Drosophila melanogaster: one gene and its partner. The gene in region 2 interacts genetically with the main gene of each other region. Each region holds a gene or a part of one and is shown on either strand. Other genes may lie near its edges.

The links. A genetic interaction does not mean that the proteins touch.
Region 1: of wupA (region 2) and fwe, changing one suppresses a phenotype caused by changing the other (phenotypic suppression), as found in Drosophila melanogaster (one study listed by BioGRID).

Annotation. Positions count from the first base shown.
Region 1 is NT_037436.4:15,814,287-15,818,043, reverse strand, and holds the start of fwe (flower), read left to right. Parts: upstream 1-1,633; 5' UTR 1,634-1,767; coding exon 1,768-1,770; intron 1,771-1,987; coding exon 1,988-2,108; intron 2,109-3,757. Other genes in the region: CkIIalpha-i1 (CKII-alpha subunit interactor-1), read right to left, coding at 1-812, 871-996. UniProt on the Drosophila melanogaster protein: Transmembrane protein which mediates synaptic endocytosis, fitness-based cell culling, neuronal culling, morphogen gradient scaling, and calcium transport. Regulates synaptic endocytosis and hence couples exo- with endocytosis.
Region 2 is NC_004354.4:18,115,110-18,118,866, forward strand, and holds the start of wupA (wings up A), read right to left. Parts: upstream 1,717-3,757; 5' UTR 1,598-1,716; intron 1-1,597. UniProt on the Drosophila melanogaster protein: Troponin I is the ATPase inhibitory subunit of troponin in the thin filament regulatory complex. Involved in the development and maintenance of muscle and nervous system. May also be involved in the cytoskeletal apparatus.

The DNA.
Region 1 (3,757 bases), on a different chromosome or scaffold from region 2:
CGCGCCCACACTCGATAACTTGAGGTGCAGTCCTTATATGGGCACTCATAAAATCGCTGCTGCGTGAATTTGACTTTATGGCTCCTCGTGTGCCTCCTGTAGGATCCTTGGTTAGCGAAGGACATGTTGCACTCCACGCAGATGAAATCGGATACATTGTGAACGCTGTTCTCGTGGCGGATAACGTCGAAATAGCGTGGGAATATCTGGTTGCATCTGAGGCACAGAAATTCCAAATCCTTTGCGCCGCACATGGTCTTGTTGTGTTTCATCGTCTTCATGTGCTCATGTAGTTCGTGTAGTTTGTGGAACTCTGAACCACAATCGCGGCAATAGTAGACCGGATTCGGGCGGGGTTTACAAGAATGCATGCGTATGTGGGTCAGGATTTCGAGCACATGGCCGCAACAGGTGCACAGCATCCGAGTGGCTTGGGTCTTGTCCTTGAAGAACTTGGTGACTGCCAAGCCATCGCGTGACAATCCCACGCTGAAGAAATCCACGGACGCGGTTTTCAAAGATTCTTCGACTACGATCTCCATATGCTCGTTTTTTTCCAATGGATCTTCCTTCACTGGCTCCGCGATATGCTGATCGAAAGAATTCTCCTCATCATTCTTTTCCGTTTCTACCTCTTCTTTGTTTGATGTCACCTCCAACTTGATCTGAAATGCAGTGGAGTCGTCTATTTCGATGGGCCTCCGGTGAAACTCGTCCTGGGCCGTGCCCCACTTCTCCAGGGATTCGCTTATGCGCAAAGTCTCTCCAAAGCAGGGCTCGCAAATGCAGTAATTTTCCCCCAGGATAGCAGCCTAAAATACGTGGGTTTCTTTGCATTTGACATCCATTGGACTCACTTTCAGAACTTACATCAATTTTGTACCAATCGAAAAGTCTTTGCAGCAGTTTATTGGCCGATTTGAATTTGGGCTTCTCGAGATCGATCTCAATTGCTCGGTTATCCTTGCATAGTTTGCAAATTTCCGCTTCTGTCATTTTGCTGATATTTTCGAGGAGGTCCAAAAACCAAGTTAATAAAAGGCAAGTAATCAATGATTTCTTCGATGTCTGCTAATCGATACTATCGATAGATGTTTAATTTATCGATACAATGCAGAGCTGCTTAATGTCGATAGGCAATTGAATTAATCGATTTTTAATTTACGGACTTAGAAATTTATGCAAATCTAAAAATAAATTAATTTTGATTGATTTGAATAGAGATAGTTGTTCAGATTTAGGAGTTAGGTGAACGATCTGAGATCGAAGTGAATTTTCTAAAGATGCCGCCTGCATATTGAACGGTATAAAAGCTTTCAATGTACACAAATTTGCCTAACATTTGCTAAGAGAACCGGAAAATATTGTTTAATATCATAATCGAACAAAAACCAATTTACAAGTTTAGACTGTAGTTTTTTCATTACCTAAAAAAGTATTTGTGTAATTATTTGAATGTTCGAAACCCAAAACAAGAAAATACAAATAATTATGAAAAAAGTAAGAAGTTGACTAATTGCAATATAAATTTAAAAATTAAAAAATGTTGTAGTGAATCCAGGATACCAGGAAACTAGTTCCATTCGCCTCCGATAACTTCCGAGTATCGATAGGCTCTATCGGCCATCAGAATCGCGATCTAGTTCGGTTCGCGTGCAGCAGAACGCAAAGTACAACAGGATTTTTTTCGTTCCGTGTGACGTGAAAAGTGCAAATAGTAATTGTTCGAATTAGTTTAAGCCTAGCTAACTAACTAAATAAATAGCCATGGTAGGTAGTTGTTGATTGACTGAGATAAAATGCTGACGCAGTGAGCGGTGTCAGTGTGTATGCATGTGAGCCGCGCGTTAACTGGTGTGTGTGTTTTTGTCGTGGCAATGTGTGCGTGTTAAAAAAAGCGGCCGCCGCGTCACAATACAAAATTGTGCTTCGATTTTTCCTAATTGCATTTCGATTTCTCCCTATTTCCGTCTATTTCCCGGATCAGTCGTTTGCGGAAAAGATAACGGGTCTGCTGGCACGGCCGAATCAACAAGATCCAATTGGACCGGAGCAGCCGTGGTATCTCAAATATGGAAGTCGATTGCTGGGCATTGTGGCCGCCTTCTGTAAGTTGTAGGATATATAATAAATTATCTACTAGCTTAACACATTAAAAAGTTGGGAAAAACATCCGTGACATTGGGCGGCCCAAAAATATGTTGCATCGATTTTTGTGTACCACCCTTTGTTGTTGTTGCTGTTATCTATTCGTAGGTGTAGGTGTGCAGTTGTGTTCGTGTGTGTACGCACGCTCTCTGACATTGATAAAGGAAAAACAAGAGAGGGTGAGTGAGAGGTGAGAGGCAGTGAGAGCGGAGAAAGGAAACATGGAAAAGACAACACAAAAAGGATACACAAATTCACACACTGAAAAAAATACTAGTTATGTATGTAGCTAAAGTTTATTTTTACATCAAAATCAAAGAAATGTAGGGTAAAGTGTGAGATTTCCAAATGAATTAAGAATGAAACGTATAATTTTAAGGTAAAACAAAGTCCAAAAAAGGTTTTTTTTTGTTTTGTTATTGAAATATAAAATAATACATTCACCCACTTAACTAAGTGGGCTTCCTGCACTTAATATCTCTTATCTAACCATTTCGTTTGATAACTTTTTATTTCGTGTGTAGGAAATTGCAAGTATGTATAGGAGCTTTTCTGTGTCAAGTTTGGCGCTCTGCTTTTTCTTTCCGCATCGAATGTAATTCTCTGTGCCCATTCAATCGAAATTCGCACTGCCTTTTGTTGTATCAGCAGCTTCCCTCTTTCCATCTCTATTTTTAACTTTGTTTTACCCGTTTGCGTATTTGCTTTTTTATCTGGACTCAGTTAACCTTAACCCTTAGGCTGCCACACGTGTTATAAGTGCAATATCGTAATAAGTCTATGCGTATCTTAAATTCAATTGGGGCATCTTTTTTGTAATTTCATCATCACCTTCTGAATGCATAAAAAAATGCAGTTCAATAAACTTTTAAGTAGTCGTGATCTACTTTGATTAAGTCCAAGTCAATCTTTTTAATCGCAGTTGGGGTTTTGATTATGCTATTGGGTTTCGTGTCGTTAGAATACTTACAAAAATTATTTTAAAAATCAATCTAAACCATACATATGTATATAAATGAAAATTCCACAGAAACAATATGCCTCATTGACATATTATTCCTGGAATTTTTAGAGATCAACCAAAGGAATATTTATTTATTCAAAACGTTTTTAACATCTTTTTTTTCTCTGTACAAAAGCATCTTTTGTTGTTGGATATTCTGGCAATGATTCTCACTTAGTGAAATGCAGAAATTGCCCAACAAATGAACACCATCCACTTAAAATCAATATAAATAGCTGAATACCTCAATTAAGGGATCACAACTCACTCGTCCGGCTTCCACAATGAACCGGTTTTGTTTGCGTAAAATAAAACCAAAGTCTATGATTAATAAATAATTTTATAAGCCGTTCCGTGGAGCACAACGACTTCTTCCCCAGGTTGGGTCAGTTTGCCTGGCTTTAAGAACCGCAATAACCTCAAAACCCAGATCCGATTTCGCAAAAGGAAAAACCTAACTTGCGAAGCTAAATATTAAAAGTGGCCTAAATCGTGAAATCTTTTTTATTTTATTATTCATGTATTTAGAATTTTAGAATTCAACCTTTCCTCGTGATCTTTTGCTGCATTTATACCAGCCACTTTTATCCAATTATCACGCCCCAG
Region 2 (3,757 bases):
GAGCAAAGAGAGAATAGCATTTCCCAACTGACCGATCTCAGCCAGCTGATTTTGTTAATGGAAACTTTCCTACGATATGTTTTCGTTTTAATCAAGCTAAAAGTTAAATCGTTAGTATAGAAGTAACTTTTACATATGCATACTTGATCAGATGATTGATCGTTGTAATGGCATTTTAAAAATACATTTTATGCTGAATAACATATTGGGAATCTTTAAGTAAACATTATGAGATTTCATCATACGAAAAACCATGTCTACATCTTGAGGAATTAATCAGAATTTATTTGCTAGCCTATCCGTATAGTATGTATATGTATACATTTTTACTGAAATGAAGTCGAAGAATTAACACCTCACAAAGTACATATATAACTTTAAAAAGTCTACTAGCGTTGAAAGTAATCGTTAAACAAATTATCTATGCTGTTAGCAATGAACTAAAATAATGTACAATGAGTCAAAAGGAGATCCGTTATAGATTTTATATCCTTTGGAAGAAGTTGTATATTTTGGGGTTTTCACACCTACAAAGCCATATGGCTTAGTAGAACGAATTGCTAGGGAGCTAGGCGTATATTTAGCCCCAGCAATTTGCGCACCTTAGCGAAGGTAAGGCGTGAAAATTTTCTGACAATGACGACCTTCGGCTATGTACACTGCGAGAAATGCACAACGAATTTAAGCATAGTCGATGTCTCCACTCGGCATACATCTGAGAATGAGAGCGAGTGGGATGGCATCTACTGTATCTAGTATCTGACTGATTTAAAAATAAACCTGTTGATAGATACACGAATCTCGGATGCGAGAAATATGGCAGCTATTTATGATTTGCCGTACAATTTGTTTATATGTTCACGGAAAAAAAATAGTCAAATTGGAGCAACGATATTCGTATCGAATATGAAATCCAAAAGTTCGGAGAGCATTTATCCAGTTATTTTACGTAGGCGACGTGTGCGTGTTGTTTCTCTGTGTGTGAGTGTATGATTTTCTGTGTGTGCGTGTGTGTGTGTGATTTTTCTCTCTCTCGGGATCTCTTGTTCTCGCTGTGGTCTATTTTCAGGCACTTTTCGAGCGATTTTAGCTTTTTTGAAATGTATCTTGTATCTGCGGGATACATTTTTAGCTTTCGGCACGCACACACACGCATACACGCACACACACACGGCAACTTCTTACGTAATTGGCAAGCCAATCCGTGAAAAAAAATTCATTGCAAAATCAAGTCAAAATAATGTTGAAAAGTATTTCGATGCAGTTTTAGACACTTGTTAACTTGTATCACTTGAAAAAAAATAGCAAAAAAATTGTTTGAAAAAAAATGTTTGAATCCTCTGGGCACACGCACACGATTTTGGTCAGGTCCAGACATACATATAAATATAAATATATATATATATATGTATAGCATATGAGAAAGGACTGAGGATTTCACATTTGTTTTTCTTTGCATTAGCATTAGCATTTGCATTTTGCATTTTGCAGTTTTCTGTTTTTCCATTCCGCTTGTTCTTGCATTGTTGCTCGTTGTCAATGTTGATGGTGATGTTTTTCTTGGCTTTTTGAATGTTGCTCCGCTTCAAGCACTCACCTTCAAGGAATTAGAAAAAAAAGAAAAAAAATTCGGCTATGCTGTCGATCACACGAATCGGATGATACTGAACGACACAAAAAGACTGAACGGTCCGACGATCCACGGCAGACTATATTCTAGCGGCTAGCCACCCAACGGATACAGATACGGATCGTTGTTGATCGGATCGCATCGTATCGCATCGTCTCGTTCGGCTCGGTTCCGTTATGTTCCGAAAGCCAAACGTTAGCCGCCCACCTGCCCACCGTCCTTCACGAACGGGCGAGAGCGAGAGAGAGCGAGAGTGGCTCGGGGGCCGGGGTTATGTATCTGGGCGTGAGATCCAAAAATAGATCCCACCAAAACTGACATGGCAGAGCACAGCCCATAAGCAAAATCGAAATGGATACCGAAAAGTGTTCGGCTCACGATCGTCGCAGCCGAGTGGCATGCCGAATCGATTCCGAATCCGAATCCGATTGCGATTGCGATTGCGATTGCGATCCCGATCCCGTAACTCCCGCCCCGTCGGAACTGCAGACCCGTAAACCACCCTATGAAAAATACCGCTTGGAGAATCTTTGTATCTCTGTATCCGCATCGGTGTTCACAATATCGTATCTGCAGTTCGATGTGTGTGCTGGTGTAAACGGAGCCGCTTGGAATTCAATGCAATGGATAAAAATAGGTTTTGTTGCTCCAGTTGGGAGGCTATGCGATGGCGGTGCAATCGGTGTGCAATGAAAAAATCAGGGCCGGCGACTGGCTGCAATCTCTGGTTTCGCCAGCCCTGGTTAAAAAACTATAAAATATTATGCTAATTCTGGAAAATCCAGGGAATAAGCTTGTGCTGGGATATGCATATATTGAATATATATTCATTTTCAATGTAATCTACTTCAACAGCAAATACTAATGAAACTAAACATTATCTTAAAATAGGTGCATGCAGCGTTATTTTAAAGATTAGATTTATAACTCCTATCGAACATTTATCCTCATAAACATAACTAATATTTCGATGAGTTGACTGAATACAAATTACTGTTTTCTTTAGAAGACTGCAGTTTTTAAGAAAAATAGGTTAATAACCCTTACATACATATATTGCTGAAAATATATTAGATAAAATTGGGGAATCCCATAGATTCTTAACTTATTTAATTTGAAGATTATTACTATTTAATCCATCCAATATCATTTCCAGGTCTTAAAGTAATTATTCCGTTTGTGTTCATTTAAAAGGTTTTTCTTAGACCGTGCCACTTTGGACTTGATCTAGAAAAACCATTTTAACGATCTGTTTCATGTTGTTCGGCTATTTATCTTGCATGTTGGCCGCTGACATAACTTTAAGCTTTCGAATAATGTGTTCCAAGCGAATCGTACGAACATATAGCCTATATCCGTCTTGTTAATATCAATGTTTTAGCTGAATTACTTTGGCATCGTCAGTCTAAATATAATGTATATACGCAATATGGCCAAATACACACATACACATATATATATATATATATATATGTATATATATATAAATTTCTATATATAATGGTAAACGGTGCGAATGACGCTGCAACACACCTACTGAAAATCACGCATACGCCCCGTAGACGAAACGCCTTGCAACTTTGGTTGAAAGTAATTTTCGAATTTCGCCAAGAACGAAAGACGAATAAAACGTTTCGATCACGAAACCATGTCTATATATATATATATATATCGTATATGAATTTAGATATACATAGACTGTCTATACGTATGTTCCGATTCTATAAACTTTCAGCAGGGAGAGCAACAACAAAATATTGTTGAAAATAATGTTGCTTTTCCCTGCTCATCTCGTTGTTCTTGGCATTTTGTGTTTCTGTTTGTGTTGCTTGTTTTTGATTTTGCCACGGCTTGTTCTAGCTCTATTTCGAAATGTATTTTCGATGATTTCTATTTTGTTTTTCCCCATTTAAATTTAGAATATGGCTTCCAGGGGGGAAATCGAAAAAACGGCGACTGCGGAAGGGCAGTGGGTTAGCTTGGGGCAAAATGTTTTCGTTATTCGTAGGGAACTTGATCAGTTCGTCTATGTCTGGACGAATCTATTTTCGCCTTCATTCTCGTTCCGAGCGTTTTTAAACAATTCCGCTGCGCGCCCAAGCAATTTTTGCCTTAATTTATGAATTT